4 linked regions of the Arabidopsis thaliana genome follow. Each later gene encodes a partner of the first gene's protein in a complex. Each region holds a gene or a part of one and is shown on either strand. Other genes may lie near its edges. The genes, in order: TAF5, HAF2, TAF11b and TAF15b.

Region 1 (7,800 bases):
AAACTGACCGGGAGAGATCTCATATAAGAAGATAACGAGTACCACATTCCCACATATAATTCCAAATGTAGACAATTGTCTAGTCACACAACCAAATCTACTTTTGGTAGATTTTATGTCTCATCCAAAATTTTGATGCAAATGTCTTTCAAAACATGTTTTTTTCTTTCTTTTCTTCTTCAGCTCTCAATTTTATTTTATTTTTGTCGTCAGCTCTCTATTTATTTAAGTACCGTCTCTAGAAATTAGGAGAATTAAATGTTTTCACAAAATAAAAAATATGTTAGTATCTGAAAAGTTTCTAAAAAATATGTTCTCTAAGAAAAAACATAATTCACAACATACCACATAACCACCCACCCTGTCTTAAGAAAGATTTCTCTCGACACACGATGTCTTTTTGGGGAGATTCATTACATGTTTCTATTTTATTAACGTTATAAATTTTGAGAATATTTGGTTGTTGTTCTTTGCCTTATTCATTTCGAGTAGGTTTTGATTCATGATAGAGGTGACATGCTTAAACTAGGGTGTTTATTAGAAGGAAGAATGTGGCTTTGACATGCTTAAAGTAAATCTGCTCCAAGTCGAAGATAAGTGATTCCTGGATTGGGACACATGGCATACATAAGCAGGAGTAGTTGTTCATTAAAAGAATCTTCAACATTTTTGGGATTTAGAAATGAGAAACAAAAGCCACAAGCAAATAATCTTTGGAGATAACTATTCTACACCTGATTTCTTCTGAGATCTACAACAGCTTGTAAGAATGTTAAAGCATCAATATCTGATACCATTGTTTTGATCAGTTTGCGGGTTTAGAGATCGCTCCTGCAGCAAACAACAAATTTCTCCGAGAAAACTGCATCAATGTAAAACATGAGTTTTAGTGTATGCCTCGATCAACGAATCCTAGGTGTTAGAGGAAAGGTTCTATATGATACTGATGGATAAAATCTGTTTGGCACACACCCTGAAACTTTGGTTCTAATCAAGTGTTTGGTCACTCATTATCGGGATGTGTTGATCACAAGCACAACATGATAAACTTAGGGATGAGAGAAATACCACGGTGTTTAGAGAATGGTGGAATTAATTCTAGTAAAGAAAGCATAACTTACCCGGAGAGCGTGAACTGGTGTGGACTTGGTGGGGAAAGTCCTGAGTGAGCGCAATCTGTTCGAGTTTCCATTCCTGATCAATCACAAATGATAAATCGTTTTTAACAAAACAATCTACCATTCAAAGGGAACAACAATACAACTTGAAAGAGCAAACTCACTTTTCCTCGGCCTTTGTCAATTTGGTACTTGAAGTGACGTCCCACAGTTTCACTGTGCAGTCTGCGGATCCAGAAGCCAGAAGAGAGCCCTCCCCGCTGAAACAGGAAAACAGGTTAGTCATAAATTGTAGTAGTTCTATGATTTATCAAAGTGGAGTTTACGGTTCCAATATTCCAAGCAAGTGGATTTTACCAACCAAAACCAGTCATTCCATTAACGACCCAACACATTAGGCCTATACAACATTCCACAACCCATGACAAGAACCCTATGTTAGAGCTAACACAAGAGTGCGTGGATATAGAAAAATCTACCAGTTCAGTAGTAAGTCACTGTAGAATTAATAGAAATAGCCACACCATACCACTCTATATCATAACCCTGAACTACCCTTTAAAAAATGTTGTCCTAGAAGAAATTCCAGAGATGATAAAGCATATCAACCAAAACCAATAGTTGGCTGAAAAAAGGATCATATTACGTTTTCATTGTGTATTACTAACTCAATAAAAGTTGAATGATCAAATAAAGCTATTTTCTTCTTCTCTTGACACCTCACCTGTATGAGAGACTCCAGACACATGAATTATGGCCCATGAGAGGAGTGATGCAGCGAGCAGTTGAGAGGTCCCACATCATTATAGTGCCATCTTCATCACCGGAAGCCATATATCTCCCATCTGGAGACATCGCCAATGATAAAACCATACTCCTGTGCCCAATGAATATCCGGACACATTCTCCAGTTTGCACATCCCAGAGTCTAACCGTCTTATCACTACTACCGGTAGCAATGTAGTTACAATTGGGATGCCACTGTACACACTGAAATCAAATGCATTTGACAAGTACAACGAAAGTCGCATCAATAGGTATCCAAAGAAAAATTGAAGTTACTGATCTGACTTAATGTCAATCCAAATAGTTAAGTAATCCATCGTAACCTTATGACTTTAAGCGTATTGGCTAACAATCTTTGGATCAACTATAAACTGGACGATTCTTAAATTATGAATGTCAGGGTCACGTTAAAATAACAAGTGGGTACTAATCTAAGTCAATAAACAATGTAAAATGTTAGATAAACCATTGTAAACATTGATACGGTGAATTAATGACTTCAATTGCATAATAAAACGTTTTAAGAAATTTATCCATGCATTTAATTAACAACTCAATTGGTCCCTTCGATTTAACCTTTGCAAATTAAACCCAAACAATGAAGATGAGGGAGACACTCACATCAACATCAGATAGATGCCCTGCCATTATCCGAAGAGGTTGTATTCGGTCCATTGACCAAATCCGTGCAGTACGATCATGAGAACAGCTTGCAAAGTAATGACCGAAAGGGCTAAACTGCACCATAAAATGAGTATATAATATATATACATGTCCAGCCACCATAAATTGCAGGTTATGTAAGAAACATGGGTTAAATTGAATTAACTATACCTGGGCATCCCATACAGGGTAATTATGACCCTTGTAGCACACGAGATTAGCATTTAGTTTTGTGCTCCACAGTCGTACTGCACTTATGAATACAGGGTTGGTAACTAAAAAAGTCTGAACTAATGAGCCAGTGTATGGATTTGTAAAGTGATGGACAGATACATACTTGTTGTATCTGCTGAAGAAGATAGAACAAAATCTCCAGGGGGACTGAAAGTGGCTGAGTAAACTGGCCCTGAATGACCCAGTAATAATGTATAACTTCTTCTGCCATTTGGTCCTATGCTTTGATCACTTGAATCATTTTCAGCCTGCAAAGCACCTGGAACCAGACAGCTTAGTGTCTATAACTCTCATGGAAACAAAAACAATCATTATGAGAAATCAACAAAAATGACAAGCGAAACGTATGAGATAAATATCATTCTTAAACGTGGATGTCAATACAATTTTTCAGAGAATTAACATACCACTGCCAGCTTGTCCTATCTTAGCCATGTCCCAGACCTGAACACCATAATTGTCACTTGGCATCATTTAAGAGAGGAAGAAAACAAAAAAAGGGAAATGTATCCAACCATCCGAGAATAACATACCTTTATTGAAGAATCTGAGAACCCACCAGCAACCAGAGATCCATCATGAGATATAGATGAACAGTTTAACCTGGGGGAGAATAAAAGAGTGAGTAACAAGGTTGCAAATAAGTAGTTAAAATTAGGAGGAGAGGTGGACATTACCCGTTATGAGTATTCACAAATGTATAAAAGCTGACTGATGGCATTGCAACACTACTCAACTGCACACGGTTTCTAAGGTCTTCAAGGATGGATTGCTCTACATCTGTGGACCTGACAGAGAAAACAAGGAGATGGAGCAAAATTGATTTATGTTAAAGGAGGTTGAGTCTTTGACAAATACAAAGACTATGTTCATTTCTCCTAAACAATCATGCATCACCCATAGATATCACATGTTCATTCCTTTTTAATCAAATCCCAACACAAAAAATGGGTAAGGGATTCGAAAGTACATTACTGGCAAGGCAAGTTCTGGTTTTACACGCGGCGCCGGTGACACCGTAATGGTCTCCAGACGTGCAACTTTTGCTGTTGCATTACCCGCTTTGTCCTTCTTCAACTTTTTTAAGGAAGAGCCTTGCTTTCCAATTTCAGTGGATCTTTTCTGTACACAGAATCAATTGACGAGTAAAAACGGGATTTCAGTTCAGAAATTATTGACTAAGTTGAAGCTATGTATCACCTTACTATCATCTGCATCCCCGTCTTTACTTTCTCCTTGTCCCTTCTCAGAATCAGACAGCAGACCTCCTGTCTTCTCAAGGCGATCTTCTAGTGAATCTTCAAGCAACTGTAAAAGAAAAATGCATATGTAGCTATTAACTACGCAAATATGTTATCATCCCTGGGATGAGGCATCAACATGTTATAACTCTGGAAAAATAGAAGAGAAAAGAAACTTTAGGGGAAATACGTACTCCCCACTGTATTTCTTTTTGATTAATGTGATTAGCAGTGTCCTGAAAACTCCCGACAATGGTGACAGCTTCTATGTCATCGGATGAGGAAGTAGGCTGTCCCGAGTAGACTGCAACAAATTATCCATGACCAATTGATTCAATTTTCTACTCAAAAAACTGCTACAAGCTATCGCATATATAAGAGAAAGAAACACATTTACCTTGGAAATTGATGTGCTCGTTAATAATACCAAGCATTAAAGTCGATACTGTACTATGTAGATACTGAAGTAACAGCTCATATGAATACTGCAACATTCAGTAAGCATATTAGAGGTCTGCAGTCACGGAATTCAGTTAATCAGACCAGAAACCTCGAAGCAGTTGCCTATTACAGCTACTAGTCAATTTTCACTCAAGTCTACCTGACAAAACTTGATGTTAACCTTGCTTTTTCTAAGAGAACGAGCAAACTCCATCTCCTGATAAGAACCAAGATCATAAGAAAGATAATAACCAAAAAAAAAAAAAAAAAAATCCATTATCAATATTATATGACCATATAAGGTTTATCATAAACCTCTAGATGAGATGGAGAAAGCACGCCTTCAAGCTTCTGAAGATCCCGTAAGTGTACCATCTCATGATCTTTGCGGAAGCTGTTAAAGAAGGCTCTAGCTGGAATACAAGAGACGTATTATTTCCCACAGTAGCATAAGTCACTGTTTCCAAAAATCTTATACCGAAGGTAAAAAAAATACTCAGTACATCTAATTTGCTATATTGACAAGTACCTTCTTGAGTGTGCCCTTTCCCCACCAGATCCATGTAACAATGAATAAACACAGGATACATCACTCGAAGCAATTCATGCTACAAAATTAGAATCATCTCGTCAGTTCAATTAAGCCTGTCTCTACCCAAAACAGCCAAGGGATACACAAAAAAAAATCCCCACCTTATATAAATCCAGAGAATTATACGCCCATGACCTTAGTTTGCTGTAACCTTCACGGTACCGAGTTGGATCATCTTCTTGTCTGCAAACAAAAGAACAGACATTTCATTACCATTAGCTCTCTCTACATAAGCCATACAAAAAAACCTAATTTCTTGCCACTGAGATGTCATCAAAATCTTAAATTTGACAGATAAACTGATAGAAATATTCACATAAACTTCACCCAGAAAGTGAATTATATTCATTTTTAGATTCTCAAAAACGTTGGAGCTTACATAATTTTTCCTTACGGTTTTCAAAATTCACAAAAGACACTAAAACTTTCCCAAAAATTCAAAACACAATTCGCATTAAGAATTGAAACGAGAGAGAGAGATAGGGAGAGAGATTACTGAGAAAAGGAGCGAATGAGCTTCGTGAGCTCAGGATCGTTATGATAATCGACAGAAGTGAAGGAGCTACCATTATTGTTCTGGTGATGATAAGATTCAAGGTCTTTAGCAGCGCTACTGAATCCTTTCTTCTTCAAGTAGCCCACGACGAACTCGTTGATTTGCTCTGGATCCATTGTTGTCTCTCTCTCTCTCTCTCGATTCAATTTCCTCTCCTAGAAACTTGTATCTCGTCGCTGAAACATCTTCAGTTTTTTAGATTCCGTGTCTCTACAAAACTGGGCCTGTTTCAATGGCCTAATTGTGGCCCAAATATAATAATTTCAAAGTTATGATTAAAACCAGGCCCGTCTATGGGGGTGGCAGGTTGGGCAAATGCCCAGATTCAAAATTTACTAAGAGTTTTTGAATTATAAGCCCATGACCTTACTTTGATGTAAAATCTCATAACCATTTTCTTTTTAAATTACTTGCTTTGGATTCTCTATTTCAACTTAAAGATTGGGACAAGATACCAATATTTATTGTTTGAGTAATTAATTCTTACAGAATTATTGAAAATTATCCAAAAAAATGTTATCTTCTCAAAATTTCTAACTTTTATTTAAAAAAAAAAATAACTTTCCAAAACACCCAGTTTAAAAATATTTAAACAATAATTCTTAAATCAAATGTTACAATGGTTAAACTAAACACTTGCAACAATTTATTGTATATAAGACAAGGTCAGTTATTTCCTCCCACAATGGTTAACTCGTTTTCTAAAAATATATTATAAAATTTTGGATATCAAATAATCAAGAAAAATTCTTTCAAATGCCCTTTTCATGATGCCCCTTTTCAACTCTACCCTTTTGTTTTATCCATTTTTATTTATATTCTCTTTAAATTTTTAATTACCATTTTACCCTTATTTGGAAATTGTTTTAGGTTAACAAAATGAAATATTAATATTTTTTCGCCTAAAATATTCTAAAATAAATTTCCCGCCAAAATTTTCCCGCCAAACCTTTTCGAAAAAAATTCCCACCAAAAATTTTTGAAAAACATTTCCCGCCAAATTTTGTTTTCAAAAATATTTTTCCCGTCAATTTTTTTTTTTGGCGGGAAATAGATTTACAAGGAATTTTAAAAGAGTTTTAAAAGATTTACAAGGCAATTTAAAGGGGTTTTATAAGATTTACAAGGGATTTTAAAAGGGTAATTTACAAGGGATTTTAAAAGGTTTTTAAAAGATTTACAAGGGATTTTTAAAAGGGTTTTAAAAGATTTACAAGAGATTTTAAAGGGATTTAAAAGATTTACAAAGGTCTTTTAAAGATTTTTAAAGGGTTTAAAATTGTTTTAAAAGGATTTTAAAATATTTACAAGGGATTTTAAAAGGGTTTTACAATATTTACAAGGGATTTTAAAGGGTTTTAAAATATTTACATAGGATTTGTAAAGATTTTTAAAGGGTTTAAAAGTGTTTTGAAAGATTTACAAGGGATTTTAAAACCTTTTAAAATTACTTGTAAATCTTTTAAAACTCTTTTAAAATCTCTTGTAAATCTTTTAAAACTCTTTTAAAATCTCTTGTAAATTTTTTAAAACTTTTTAAAAATCTCTTGTAAATCTTTTAAAATCCTTTTAAAATCCCTTGTAAATCTATTTGGCGCTAAAAAATATTTACAAGGATTTTTAAAATATTTTTTTTGGCTGAGGAAAAATTTTTTACGAAAAAAAAATTTGGCGGGAAATTTTTTTGTTGGCGGGAATTTTTTTTTTTGGTTGGAAAAAAGTTTGGCGGAAACTTTTTTTTGGCGGGAAAAAAAATATTTTGGCGCCAAAAAATTGGCGGGAAAATTTCAGTTTCCAATTACATGTTTTTATTAGATGAGGGTAATTTGGTCATTTTGTTCAAGGGGAGAGATATTTTTAAAAATGGACAACATGAAAGGGTATTGTTGCAAAAGGGTAGTAAAAAAAGGCTAGTTTTGCAAATCTCCCAATAATCAATACATATAATTTTCAAGAACCAATCAAGTCCTTATATAGTGAAAAACTAGTATTTATTGTTGTTCTATAAAATAGTTTTCTATGTATGGTTTTTAAAATCAGTTGTTGTTTTTTACAGGGGAGTCAAATTCAATCAATCACAAAATTTTATTAATAAGATGTTTTATATCTTATCTCACTGTTACTATTTCAAGGATGTGTTTTGCACGGAACATCTTCATGATAAGCTTA
Region 2 (5,024 bases), on another chromosome or scaffold:
TTTTTTCAAAAATATTCAAACGGCTAAGACATTGAAAAAAGCAGTAGAGACTAGAGAGGGTCCATTTTAATTCGAATTATCTCGCCTCGTGATTAAAATATATATTTCCTAGCGGCTTATGTCAAAGTTCGAGATAAAATAAAAAAAATAGACTAATTTTGCGTAGGATTTGGTTTGGTTTGGGTCTGTTACTATAAGAATGAAATAAAGAGACTATACAATATACACCGTAACAAGTATATCCTTTAATTTTGTCATATGACAATTATTGTTCTTCTTTTTCTTTTTGGACATGGATAATTATATTTTGTTTCATTTTGGTAAATTAGGGTCCTGTTCGTTTGCCTGTGTTCGTTTGCTTGTCTGTGTTCGTTTGCCTGTCGCTGACGACTGAAACCAGCGACAACGACCAAAAGTTGTTTGTTTGCATAGCGATCAAAAGTAACGACAATCGCCAGCGACCAGCGACCGCAATTTTTGGTCGCTGAAATTTTTAGCGATCAGTCGCTGATTTCAGCGATTAGTCGCTGGTTTTAGTCGCTGGATCCAACGACATGCAAACGAACAATTTAGCGATCAAAAAATATAAATTAAAGAATAATTAAAAATAATTAAATTAAACAGAATTAAATTAAATTAAACTTAAAATAAATGTCTTTTTGCACTCTGAACGGTTGTGTCTTTTAATCGCAACTTTCCGTAAAAAATATTGATGGTTGTTTTTTCTCGCTTGTGTCTTTTATTGCAACCTTCCTATATTGTAATTTTCTGTCAAAATATTTACAGTTATTTTTTCCGGTTAGTTATATATATACTATTGAATAACTACGAAATTTAGAATATGCATCATTTGGAGTTAGATTTGTTTTAAAGAAATTATTATATAAATAAATTTATAATATTTTTCTCTGCGATATCAAGAAAGGTTTGAGTTCTAGTTTAATTAAAATAATTCTTATTAAATTAAGTTAAAATAAATTAAATTCAAATAACATAAACTAATTATAGTCAAATTAAATTTGATAAAACTAAAATAAATAAATCTATTAATTTATTTTTCTCATGGTGTATGATATATATGATTTACATTTTGATTTTAAAATATAAATTAGTACCAAAAATAATTAATTTTAAAAAAAAATATAGCGACTGTTTATAGCGACAGTCAAACGAACAACACAACGACAATTATTAGCGATTGTTGATGTAATTGGTCGCTGAGTCCAGCGACAGACAATCGAACAATATATGTTGTCGCTGGTTGCTGTCGCTGGTCGTTGGTCGCTGTCGCTGGATCCAGCGACAGGAAAACGAACAGGGCATAGGTTTTGTTTGTTTTATTTAGTATTTCTAACGTAAATTTTAAAAAAGCGCCAAAATCTAGAAGAAGAGTAATATGCGAGAAAATCACTTTTACTCTTATTTATTTACTTGTCTTGCCAAATTTCCATCAAAATTATTAATTACTTAATTATATAATTTTTGACTAATTATTTACTTTATTGGACCCGGGATATGTAACTAAATGGGCTTTTATTGGGCTGTATTCTGTGGACCATTAATAAACATAATCTTTGAAGTGCAAAAAAAAAAATGGGACCCGGGACAACTAAATCAGAATCGGGGCGGGTTATAAACTTTTCCCTATAAATTACCACTCCGATGTTAATACCCGCCTCTTTGATCCCTCAGACGATTTCTTCTTTCCGTTGTATCTTCCAATCACCCGATTGAGCTCCGCTTCACTTCCTCCGGCTAAATGTGTACATACTCTCAATTAGGAAACCGCCAATCCCACATAACGTTGAATGTCGTCGTCTCGGTTAGATATCAACGAGGGTTTTGTTCTTGGTTCCTTACTAAACAACAAAATTTGACGAAAATTGGTACTTGGGTATGAACGTTGTTATTCCCTAATTGTACCGGAAAATTTGATGGTGGTATGTTTCCCTTGTAGGTTTTCGTTGAGTCGTGGATTTGTTCTTGCTCCTGATTCTTTTCAGTAGTTCCTTTGCTATTTGGGAAGCAAAATTGTCACGCCACTCTTTGCATTCGAGGGTTTTATTATGTCTGAGTCCAACGACAACGAGACTTCCGCAGGTTATATTTGCAGTTTCTTACATGGTTTCTTCATTAGTGTATTGCATTCTCCTAGTTTTGCTCTAGTCATAATCTACTTATTGTGGGATAATTTATTGCTCAGCGTTTTGAGTTAATTAAATAGAAGGTTTTTATGTTTGAGATTTTGATATACGCAACAAGTCCCACCCATAGCAGTTACAAACTGAAACTATTTGCCACTACCAATTCCCGGTCATCAGCTTCACTGACTTGTGATGATATGTCGTGTAGATTATGGGAGCAATGATGAAGAGTATGATGGGCCTGAGCTTCAAGTAGTTACTGAGGAAGATCACCTACTACCAAAAAGAGAGTACTTATCAGCTGCATTTGCTTTGAGTGGTTTAAATTCCAGAGCTTCTGTGTTTGACGACGAAGATTATGATGAACAAGGAGGACAAGAGAAGGAACATGTACCAGTTGAGAAATCTTTTGATTCAGAAGAGAGGGAACCAGGTTTGCTTTTGAAATTTCCGTTTCTTGAACAAAACGATTAGCACACTCTATTCTCTACTTTTGTTTTGTCATTTCATTAATCTCAGATTGGTTTAGTTTTCTCAACACTTATACTTGTTTAGCTCGGGAAAATAATCTCTTGTTAAGTTGGAGTCCAGTGCGTCATAAATACTAGAGATCAGAACTCTTGGAACTTTTCTTAGATTCCTTTTGTGTTAGTGATTATGAGACACTAAACATTATTTTCGCAGTTGTCTTGAAGGAGGAAAAGCCCGTAAAGCATGAAAAGGAGGCTAGCATCTTGGGAAATAAGAATCAGATGGACACAGGAGATGTCCAGGAGGTCAGCAAGAATGATTTCGGTGTCTCAGATAACATCTTTTTTTGTTGTGGAATGATTTTGTTCTGTTAGTGATCTCATTGAAACGTTCAGGAGTTGGTGGTTGGATTATCAGAAGCTACTTTGGATGAGAAACGTGTCACCCCGCTGCCTACGTTATATCTTGAAGATGATGGTATGGTCATCTTACAATTCTCTGAGATATTTGCTATACAAGAGCCACAGAAGAAACGGCAGAAGAGAGAAATTAGATGTATCACTTATAGAGGTATGTGATCTGCAACGGCTTCCTAATTTTGTTTATTCTCAAAAGCCTTTGAATTTTTTGTGCTTTCCATTGGGATGTTAAAATCTACAACAACAATGATTTCTCAAGATTTTCAGTATCTCCCGTTCAATTCTAAAAGCCATTAGGTGTCGAAAGCATGAGAAGTTTTTTGTATGTGGCTCTGTCTTTTCTTGGCAAGAATTTAGTAGATATGTATATTTGGTGCTTCTGAAATGATATACATTATTTTCTCTGTTTCTCTCGTTATCTCTCTGCATTGTTCTTTTCTGTTTGTAATTCATCACTTCTTTTAATGTAACTAGAATAGCTGAGAAAGTTCTATGAAAACAATTATCATATGAGACTCTTACATCATAGCCTTCTTTGGTACAGACAAATACATATCTATGGATATTTCTGAGCTTATCGAAGACGATGAGGAGGTACTCCTGAAGAGCCATGGTAGGATTGACACTCATGGGAAAAAAACTGATCAAATTCAGCTGGATGTTCCCTTACCAATCAGAGAGCGTTCACAGCTGGTAAAATCTGGCATAGTAAGGGATACTACATCAGAATCGAGAGAGTTTACCAAGCTAGGAAGGGATTCATGTATCATGGGTGAACTGTTGAAGCAGGACTTAAAAGACGATAATTCATCTCTCTGTCAGTCTCAATTAACAATGGAAGTTTTCCCTCTAGACCAGCAAGAATGGGAACATCTAATACTCTGGGAAATTTCTCCTCAATTTAGTGCTAATTGTTGTGAGGGCTTCAAATCTGGACTTGAGTCAGCAGGTATAATGGTACAGGTGAGGGCTTCAAATTCAGTGACTGAACAAGAAAGCTTAAATGTGATGAACTCTGGAGGGCAAACTCAAGGGGACAATAACAACATGCTCGAGCCTTTTTTTGTAAATCCGTTGGAGTCTTTTGGCTCAAGAGGTTCCCAGTCTACAAATGAGTCCACTAACAAAAGTAGACATCATCCACAACTCCTTAGATTAGAATCTCAGTGGGATGAGGATCATTATAGGGAAAATGGCGATGCTGGACGGGAGAATTTAAAGCAGCTTAATAGTGACGCTCGTGGGCGCTTGAGTGGACTTGCATTGCAAGATAGGGATATGTGGGATGAGTCATGGTTAGATAGCATAATATGGGAGTCAGATAAAGATTTGAGCAGGTCTAAACTAATATTTGATCTTCAAGATGAGCAAATGATCTTTGAAGTTCCGAACAATAAGGAAAGAAAATATCTTCAACTTCATGCTGGATCTAGGATTGTATCTCGATCTTCAAAATCCAAGGACGGATCCTTTCAAGAAGGCTGTGGATCAAATTCTGGGTGGCAATTCAATATTTCTAATGACAAATTCTATATGAATGGGAAAAGCGCTCAGAAACTGCAAGGAAATGCTAAGAAATCTACCGTACACAGTTTGAGAGTTTTCCATTCGGCACCAGCGATTAAATTGCAGACGATGAAGATCAAATTGAGCAAGTAAGTGAGTCATTTGAATTTTTACATCTTATTGTATTTGTACGCTTCATTGTTACATTCGTGTGTGGTCTCAATGTTGCCACTGGATATATTTTTTAAATACATTTTTTTAGTGGTTTATGTTAAAAAGTTTTGATTTAACTCATTGCAGTAAAGAGAGAGCAAATTTTCACCGGCCCAAAGCTCTGTGGTATCCACATGACAATGAGCTAGCCATAAAGCAGCAAAAAATTTTACCCACCCAAGGTTCCATGACAATTGTTGTTAAGAGTCTGGGGGGTAAAGGATCACTGCTAACCGTCGGCAGAGAGGAATCTGTCTCTTCTTTAAAAGCC
Region 3 (3,038 bases), on another chromosome or scaffold:
GATAATGCTTGTGGAGCCCAAACAACAATCTCACGTGATTCGTTTTTTTAGTTACTTTTGGTCAGGTCTCACGTGATTCGTTTTATACATTGATTATTTAACTTCAATTATAACTATGAGTCTATGACTACTAGTGTGCATTGTTATTATTGGGGAGAAATATTTTTTAACGCATATTGTAGATTCATTGATTATTGTTTTAAAGCATTGTAGATTCACATAAACATTATAGTTGATTTAGTTAGCAAGGACTAGTAACAAGATGTTTGCTTGACTATATATGAACACTTTTTCGTCTCATCGATGGAACCAATACTATGTGAATCATGGGGCTGCATTATTTTACAGGGTTTCAGGTGTGCCATTCGTTGGGAGGAGGCACAGGTTCAGGAATGGGAACACTATTGATATCGAAGATCCGAGAGGAGTATCCAGACAGAATGATGCTCACTTTCTCTGTTTTCCCATCTCCTAAAGTCTCTGACACAGTCGTTGAGCCTTACAATGCAACTCTCTCTGTCCATCAGCTTGTAGAGAACGCTGATGAATGCATGGTCCTCGACAATGAAGCTCTCTACGATATCTGCTTCCGTACCCTCAAACTCAGCACTCCTAGCTGTAAGTACACCCAATTCTTATCCTCCATTAACCCAAAATGTATTTAAAACTAATTCTGATACATTGCATGATGATGTAGTTGGAGACTTGAACCATTTGATCTCCGCAACAATGAGCGGTGTGACTTGCTCCTTAAGGTTCCCCGGACAACTAAACTCTGACCTCAGGAAACTCGCGGTGAACCTAATCCCATTCCCTCGTCTCCATTTCTTCATGGTGGGTTTTGCGCCCCTCACTTCCCGTGGCTCGCAACAATACATCTCACTCACCGTTCCTGAGCTGACTCAACAAATGTGGGACTCCAAAAACATGATGTGTGCAGCTGATCCACGTCACGGACGTTACCTCACAGCCTCTGCTATTTTCAGAGGACAGATGAGCACAAAAGAAGTCGACGAGCAAATCCTAAACATACAGAACAAGAACTCGTCTTACTTCGTTGAGTGGATCCCAAACAACGTGAAATCCAGCGTTTGTGATATCCCACCAAAGGGGCTCAAAATGGCGGCGACGTTTGTGGGTAACTCGACGTCGATTCAAGAAATGTTCAGGAGAGTGAGTGAGCAGTTCACGGCTATGTTTAGGCGTAAAGCGTTTCTGCATTGGTACACAGGAGAAGGAATGGACGAAATGGAGTTTACGGAAGCTGAGAGCAATATGAATGATTTGGTCGCTGAATACCAACAGTACCAAGATGCTACTGCTGATGAGGAAGGTGAGTATGATGTTGAAGAAGAAGAGGAGGGAGATTATGAGACTTGATCCACCAAATCAAACATTTTACTTAAAAGACAAGGAAACGACTCTTGGAAATCTCTCTATTTAAATTTGATTGAAAAACATTGAAAAAATGGGAAATTTGTTTAAATGTGTTTTTTGTTTGAGTAATTTGTTCAAAGAAAGTTTGAAGTTTCCATTTATTTTGGGTGTCTTGTATTTTCCATTTGAGATAATACGTCCTTGCTTCTCAAGCTACTGTGTAGTATATAAATTTTACACTTCTCTCAATTGTCCCACATCGAGTAAATTAGTATAAAGGAAGCTAAACTTTTGCCTCTATAAATAAAGATACTTCATTTCCCACCGACTTTTACATTTGGGCTTCTTAAAAAATAGGCTTGACAATAAATGGCCTTTAACGCAAGGTCTTGTTGTTTTGCTAGTAGCAACGAGCGGGTTACTTGTAACTGCAATTGTCTGAAAGATCAGCCAGTGCCAAGGTACTTGTAATTACAAGTACAAAAAATTGATTTCTTTGAGTTCATGTTCATGTCGGATTTTTTCTAGTGTGGTCGGATGTGCAACAAAAAAATTGGCTGAATTTTGGAGTTTTAAGATCCAAAGATATGTGATTTTCGTTAAGGTTTTATTAAGAATGAAGCATTCGAAGGATCCGTTTGAAGCAGCAATGGAGGAGCAAGAGGAATCACCTGTTGAAACCGAGCAGACTCTTGAAGGAGATGAGAGAGCTGTGAAGAAATGTAAAACGTCCGTTGTTGCTGAAGCGAAGAACAAAGATGAAGTTGAGTTCACCAAAAACATAACTGGTGCTGATCCTGTGACTAGAGCCAACAAGATGCAGAAGATTTTATCACAATTTACAGAGGAACAAATGAGCAGATATGAATCTTTCAGAAGATCTGGTTTTAAGAAATCAGACATGGAGAAGTTGGTACAGAGAATCACAGGGGGTCCGAAGATGGACGACACTATGAACATCGTTGTGCGTGGTATCGCAAAGATGTTTGTTGGCGACCTTGTGGAAACAGCTCGAGTTGTTATGAGGGAAAGGAAGGAATCAGGACCTATTAGACCTTGCCATATCAGAGAGTCATATCGAAGACTAAAGCTCCAAGGAAAAGTGCCTCAAAGATCAGTTCAACGGCTTTTTCGCTAGTCAGAATGACGAGGTTACAAAGTAGTGACATGGACGAAGAGTAACTATCATGCTCTAAACCAAACGTGATTAAGTCTTTGCTTAATAACTAAAGAAGTACACGATAAGATCAGAAACAATTGGCCATCTCTCTCATTACTCTTAAAGAATTCACCTTTCAAGCATTCTACAAATTGACTCCCTAAGAAACGATTACAAATAACACAATGAGATTTCAGTCTTTTAATTCAACCTACTTGGCTCTAGCCTTTTTAGAGACTCTGCTAGCCAAAAAATCATCATCTGAGTCGTCATCATCAGAGTTCTTCTTCCTCTTCTTCGTGGTTGGTTTCGAATCATTTCCCTTCTTTTTGTTTGACAAAGCTTCAGATGGCGACTTTTGTACTTCCTTCTTCTTCACGGTCACTGATTTGGAGTTGCTTCTTGGAGTAGAAGCAGCAGATTTTACTGGAGAACTTAATTTTCCACCCTTTTGCAGTTTCTTCTCAAGAACTTTCTTTGCTTTTTCGGCTGGAAGCAATCC
Region 4 (6,080 bases), about 15 Mb from region 1:
ATTATAACACATATGTAAAGGAAGATGCATACCTATGGATGTAAATTTCAGATTGAGTAGTAGAGAAATAGCTATAAAGCTCAGGAGGGATAGCGCCATGGCTCACCAGTGCTGTATGTTTTGTATATGCGTACATGTATATCTGTTGGCGCTATCCATCCTGAGTTCCATAGCTTCTTCTTGCTTATATGTGATTCCTACTTCATTCCCTCCTTCGTTTAGCTTCTTGTATACAAGATATGGTAATGGGTAAGTTTATTATTTGCATGTAAATATTTTACCTTTTTTTATATAGAATTGTTGAAGTTCAAATCATATAGAAAATTGTGTCGAAAGTGAGAAAAATCGCAGGTATTGTCAATTTGAGGTTAAGAACACATTAAGTATTAAATAGTGTGGTCTTACAAGTTACAACTTACAAATATCTGGATTTCACACATCTAAGCAGTTTGTTAGAATTACATTGTTACTGCCTTACTTTTTTTTTTTTTTTTTTTTTTTGTAAATTTATGCTTAAGACTACTGGTGGACTTTTATTAAGAATATGTATATTATCCAATATGTGTGTGAAAGGGATGGTAAATAAGTAATATCGCCGTGTGCTAGAGCCAGCCAGCGATTGAGCTGTGAATATGCAATGTTAGAAGATGGATTCTCTTTGTCGAATTGAGAATGGGAATCTTGAAACTAATGTTACAGGATTCCAAATTTCCTGGATTCTTTCTCTCGTCCATATTTTCTACACAACAAGTCATTAATAAACTTTCTCTTGGGATTTTCGGCATTAGTCTTTTTTGTTCCTATAATTTCAACATAAACTTTCGTTACATGTAACACATTAAAGAGTTGGCCAATCCGGCACTTGACCAAAAGGTCATGACATATACACATAGAGAACTTTACGAGACACCCTTCTCTTTAGTCCTTGGGATCCAGATTGAACGATTAACTATTTATTAACAACGTCTTTTATCCAAAAAAAGGCCACTCATTTGTAAAACCCTAATCCTAATCATAGCCCCAGTGAGTGAAGTTGGCAATAAAATCATCAAGTTGATCTTTGAAAGGTCACTGCATACTTCAGATCAACTGATCAGACACAAGTGCCTAGCCATCCCCCACTCCTGCCAATTCTCGAGGAACACATGTTGCTATAAAAGAAGTTTGCGAGAAAAAACGATAACAACTCCGAAAATTGTAAAGAGAAGTGTGGTTGCCTAAATGAATGCATTACACAATACAACATGAAAACATACGACTGTTTTGTTTGTGTTGAACAGAGTCAAAAAAAGAAGGAAGAGAAGCAAAAAAGGGACTTCTGGTGTTGAAAGAAGTAATCAAGATGAATGCACTCACCTGAAATCATCATAGCACCAATTTGCAATGCATTTTGCAGTTAAATATCAGCTTCCTTCAATAAAACAAAAAACAAACATTTCACATCGTGAAAAACAAACTAAAAATAAACCGGAGATGCATGAATAATAGATCCCCAAAGAAACAGAACAAGTAGGGAGAAAAAAGGGGTAATTTTGCTCAAGGTCAAAGTGAACAAAAACCTACCTCTTTTTTTGTATCTCCAATATGAGGATTCATAGAACATTTTACTAAAATTCCCTCCTTAACACACACAAAACTCTTAGAACACATAACAGCTGATTCATTCATTCCTCTCTTTCTCTCAATATGGACGAGACCGGTTTCCCCCATGGTGGTTTCTGTCTGGCCCTGAACTGTAGTTGTCTCTTCTTCTGTCTCCCCCACCACCACCATAGCCACCACCTCCTCCTCCTCTACCCCCACCTCTGCGACATTCACAAGTTTGCAAGGACAACATTATTAGATCAGACACAGACATCTCTAATTAAAACCAGCTTACTACGTAAGATGAAGTGACTCAACACACAACAAAGACGAGTCTTATAGAGCATGGAAAACCAGATAAAGATACAACTTATATGGGGAATTACTAGGAGCTTATAAGAAGCATGAACAAACAACAGATCTCTTCACAACCAAGAGCAGCCACAGCTATAGGTTACAAGATAACTACATAGATTTATTTCCTATGGCATGAACATAGACCTAAGGCATAATTTGATGACATACGAACTCCCAACCCTTTCTGTCATACCCAGATGAGTGTACAAAGCAAATCCCCAGTAGGATACAAGATCCAAACAGTCTTCAGAGACAAGGAACATAAACTTAGCATTGCAAAAACTCATATTCCCTACTAAAATTATAAAGCTAAAAGCCTAAAACAACTAGAGTACAAACACCTATAAGATGGAGCAGGTGGTAACAGCTAAATGGTAACAAAAAAGAATGCTGATAAATGATCAGGACAGCTACCTCTGGTCAAAGGTAGGAGCACGGGGCGCAGACTTTTCTGCCATCGTTACACTAATCTTGTTCCCCCTCATTTCGTAATCTACAAAACAATCCACCACCATTCACGAAACAGAACTTTTAAACAATTTTAAGCTAGACAGCAATTCCATAGTACATACTGTTGAAAAAGCCGCCTGCAGAGTGTGCAGCGCTGGGATCTTCATAAGCCAGACAGGCGTCACCTTTATAGTTACCCTTCTCATCAGTGTAAATCTTAATATTATAGGGCCACTGATCTTTGTAACCACGCTTCTGCTTAATTCTTCCAACCTAAAATAGATCCAACCAGACACACTTTATCAGCACACCAATAAACATGTACACAAACAAGAACTTAATAACTTATAGCAAGGGAAAGGCTTATTCCAAGATATAAAACACAACAGAAGTAAAAGACCAGTGTTATTACTTGGCCAATGCCACCAAAGAGATCCTTGAGTTCATCAGTTGTCACATCCGGAGGTAAATTAGAGATGTATATTCTAGCATTATCACAATTATCATCACAATCAGCATCGCACTGCTTGACTTTTTCAGTAGCTGCATCTTCATAACTAGCTTCCTGCCGTCGAGGAGCACTACCACCATCATAGCCGCCACTCCTACCACCACGACCACCAGTGCTCGGTGCATCACTGCCATAACCCCCTCGTGGACCACCATATGACGGCGGGCCACCAGAATAGCTTGTAGGCGGGGGAACAGCTTCCATTCCATAACCCGTGGGTGGAGGATAACTTCCAGAACCATCGTAGGATGGAATAGCTGCAGCAGGAGGAGGAGCCTGACCATACGAACCATTTTCCCTCTGACTACCACTACCATAGCTACCACCACTCCTACTTCCACCATCATATCTACTACTCTCATAGCTCCTACCACTATCGTTTCTACCACCACGACCACCCCCACGATCACTGTCACCTCCACCTCGGCTATATCCACCACCTCCACGATCATTAGCACCAGAACTAGTACCAGAAGGAGCAAGTGCACCACACTTGTTACATTCAACTCTCCTTGCAAAGTTCACGTTCCCACAACTATACAAACAGTTTCGAGGGTAAACAATTTCAAAACATGCTCCCACAAAGGAATTCAACAGCTAATTCAATTCATTACATATGCAGAAAGAATGGAATCCCAAATAATTTGCAATCATTACCTGGGGTTGGGACAACGCCAATCTCCATCTCTGCCTCCGCCGCCACTTCCTCTTCCACCGCGATCACCTCCTTGATATCCACCACCTCCACCGCCTAAATCAAAACGAATCATCGAAATAGTGAGAAACTAAAGATTTAACAAAAGTAGCTCAGCAAGGAATGGAGAAATCTAAAGAATCATAAGGTTATATCAATCAGATCTGCAACAATCTAAATCACAAACCTCGATTTCCTCTACCACCGCCTCCACCGTAACCACCGCGTCCGCCGTAACTACCTCCGCCAGAGGCACCGCGTCCACCATATCCAGCATCACCACCTCCATAACCTCCCCCTCCGCCGTATCCATCACCACCGTACGACGGAATAGGCGCACCTCCGCCGCCGTCTTGATTGTACATCCCAGCCATGACCTAGGGTTTGCGATAAACAACAGACCAAAACTCTTAACGAATCGTGTGAGAGCCTTTTTAGACGTAGAATAAAAAATCTCGCGTTTTATTTATATTTCTCTCAAAAATAGTGGAACTTTATTATTGCATTTATCTTAAATCTTAAATTCTTTTACATCTTATCTTTTACCGACCGGTTTCCCAAAATAACTGGACTTGCTTTTTTTATCAAATAAGACAACATGGTTCTAAGGCCCATAATCATCTAACCTTTACGAAGGCCCAGCCCAATAACAGTTATTTTTTACGTAGCCCAATACAGTTTTGAAATGTGGCTATTAGAGAGAAATTAGAGGCAAAATCCACCAAAATTTTGCTATAACTACAACTTTAAAAGAGTCCGGACAGTAGGAACAATAAGAGGAGAGGCCAGCTCTGAAAGAAATTTGGAGTTTGCGAAGATGAATGAGAAGTGTCAAGTTGAATCGAGAACCGGCAATTATCCTCAGAAGGATCAACAGTAGTGATCAAACCAAGTCCACCAAAGTTGCAGCTTTCTGCACTGTGATCATTTTGCTGGTACAAGCTATTGAACGCGTATGAAACGTTGCCTGGCCATCTGATGCCTGAACACGACCCGCCAGGAAGTATCGATGTACAGTCCGCAACAGCACACGCTTCTAATGCTCTTGCTGACGCGTTTGACAAGTCCTTGTTATTGTTCACCACACACCACTTAGGAGGAAGGTACTGAACATTCTGCGCGTTTACCTGATTCTTATGGTTGAAACTGAAATTGTATTTGGCTTGACCGTCGAAAGTGAACACTCCCCAGTGCCTCTCAAAGTTCCCAGCAGATAAGTTTCTCTGATCTTCGTCCAAGAGACTTTCAATGTAGGTTTCAACAGGAGGACGCGGGAGAGAGGCCGTCTTTTTCTCCAAGTGAACTATCAGTCCTTTAAAGAACGCCTCAGCAGTCAGTGATGTTGCATTTTCTGCTCCATCTGTAGGCCAACCGATCTTTGACACAACGATATCCACCTCCGAAAACCCAATTGTGAACAATGCAGAGACAAGTGTGTCATAGCTTAGATCAAAGCTGTTTCTGTAGGTTTTACGTCCGTCTTTGTGAGCCTTTGCTGTTTCTTTAAAGAGGCTAAAGTCAAGGGAGATGTTCTTGTTCTGGTGAAAGCTTAGGAAAGGAGAGATTGTCACAAAAAAAGGAGAGTGGTGCTTTGTGAGAAAGGAGAGGAGTTCAATCATCGTCTTGTTGAGGTCAGCCCTAAAGTGTCCTGAAGAAGGTCGACCAGATTCAGAAAGAAAGGAATCAAAGCTTGAGGGGACTACAACCTTCACTTCATTTGCCAAGTTCGCCTTAACTAAAGCATTTTGGATATTCATAGCTGCCCCAATCACAAAAGGCTTATACTGATTGCCATAGCTCTGGAGAAATGGCTCTTCTCCAACTGCTACATACCTGAAAATCAATTCTTTTCTTTAATGATAATTTCACAATAAGAAGATTGGCAATTTGGCATTGAAACAAATCCGACTCATTCACATTCCATAAGTTAAATTCCAGCTTAAAAATCTTAAATCTATATATATATAACTGGATAAGCAGAAGAGAAGGAGAAAGAAGATACTCGATTCGAACTCTGTTTCCACCGTTGAAGTAACGAGTGACATTGTCATGTACCCAGCTCTCTGCTACCTTTACGGATGCATTCAAGCTCTTGAGCATCGAATTTTGGATTCCGATAGTGACACCAATATTAGAACCAGAGAGAGCTCGGAGAACTTTTGGGTCGGCATCGAAGAGCTTCACTTTGACAATGCCGTTTGATTTCAGAAGCTCTACAACCTTTGAAGGCGGAAGAGGGTGCGACGCTTCTGTCCCCCAATTTATGCCAACTGCTCTGACGGTTGTTCCCGTCAAGCTCAACCCTGCCGTGACGGCGAGGAGGAGGAGAAACAGCCGACGAGCCATCAAATCCAGTGAATCTCGTACTTCCACGATAATGTCGGGCCGAGAAATTCAATGTTTAAAAAAACAAAACACTGCGTGCCGTTTCACGACTCAGCATCTCACTGTTATTTAGCTATCAAAACGACACGGTGTTTAGAA

Evidence for each region.
Region 2: TAF5 (region 1) and HAF2 share a complex: the UniProt entries of both Arabidopsis thaliana proteins name them as parts of the TFIID complex.
Region 3: TAF5 (region 1) and TAF11b share a complex: the UniProt entries of both Arabidopsis thaliana proteins name them as parts of the TFIID complex.
Region 4: TAF5 (region 1) and TAF15b share a complex: the UniProt entries of both Arabidopsis thaliana proteins name them as parts of the TFIID complex.

Annotation. Positions count from the first base shown.
Region 1 is NC_003076.8:8,675,064-8,682,863, reverse strand, and holds TAF5 (TBP-associated factor 5), read right to left. Parts: upstream 5,816-7,800; 5' UTR 5,748-5,815; coding exon 5,572-5,747; intron 5,259-5,571; coding exon 5,177-5,258; intron 5,092-5,176; coding exon 5,013-5,091; intron 4,897-5,012; coding exon 4,799-4,896; intron 4,701-4,798; coding exon 4,644-4,700; intron 4,528-4,643; coding exon 4,440-4,527; intron 4,347-4,439; coding exon 4,237-4,346; intron 4,110-4,236; coding exon 4,002-4,109; intron 3,924-4,001; coding exon 3,772-3,923; intron 3,590-3,771; coding exon 3,479-3,589; intron 3,405-3,478; coding exon 3,335-3,404; intron 3,246-3,334; coding exon 3,209-3,245; intron 3,061-3,208; coding exon 2,905-3,060; intron 2,816-2,904; coding exon 2,739-2,815; intron 2,643-2,738; coding exon 2,526-2,642; intron 2,109-2,525; coding exon 1,843-2,108; intron 1,379-1,842; coding exon 1,283-1,378; intron 1,195-1,282; coding exon 1,122-1,194; coding exon of another isoform or gene 1,077-1,121; exon of another isoform or gene 863-1,076; coding exon 806-862; and 2 more. UniProt on the Arabidopsis thaliana protein: TAFs are components of the transcription factor IID (TFIID) complex that is essential for mediating regulation of RNA polymerase transcription.
Region 2 is NC_003074.8:6,572,595-6,577,618, reverse strand, and holds the start of HAF2 (histone acetyltransferase of the TAFII250 family 2), read left to right. Parts: upstream 1-2,005; 5' UTR 2,006-2,066; coding exon 2,067-2,100; intron 2,101-2,336; coding exon of another isoform or gene 2,337-2,352; coding exon 2,353-2,577; intron 2,578-2,828; coding exon 2,829-2,920; intron 2,921-3,010; coding exon 3,011-3,185; intron 3,186-3,578; coding exon 3,579-4,689; intron 4,690-4,840; coding exon 4,841-5,024. UniProt on the Arabidopsis thaliana protein: TAFs are components of the transcription factor IID (TFIID) complex that is essential for mediating regulation of RNA polymerase transcription. Core scaffold of the TFIID complex.
Region 3 is NC_003070.9:6,936,375-6,939,412, reverse strand, and holds TAF11b (TBP-associated factor 11B), read left to right. Parts: upstream 1-1,746; coding exon 1,747-1,838; intron 1,839-1,992; coding exon 1,993-2,515; downstream 2,516-3,038. Other genes in the region: TUB5 (tubulin beta-5 chain), read left to right, coding at 349-618, 698-1,380; AT1G19990 (nucleolin), read right to left, coding at 2,748-3,038. UniProt on the Arabidopsis thaliana protein: TAFs are components of the transcription factor IID (TFIID) complex that is essential for mediating regulation of RNA polymerase transcription.
Region 4 is NC_003076.8:23,636,885-23,642,964, forward strand, and holds TAF15b (TBP-associated factor 15B), read right to left. Parts: upstream 4,090-6,080; 5' UTR 3,971-4,089; coding exon 3,784-3,970; intron 3,654-3,783; coding exon 3,560-3,653; intron 3,438-3,559; coding exon 2,804-3,437; intron 2,665-2,803; coding exon 2,514-2,664; intron 2,435-2,513; coding exon 2,356-2,434; intron 1,806-2,355; coding exon 1,682-1,805; 3' UTR 1,564-1,681; exon of another isoform or gene 1,412-1,563; 3' UTR 531-1,411; downstream 1-530. Other genes in the region: AT5G58480 (O-Glycosyl hydrolases family 17 protein), read right to left, coding at 4,343-5,429, 5,599-5,942. UniProt on the Arabidopsis thaliana protein: TAFs are components of the transcription factor IID (TFIID) complex that is essential for mediating regulation of RNA polymerase transcription.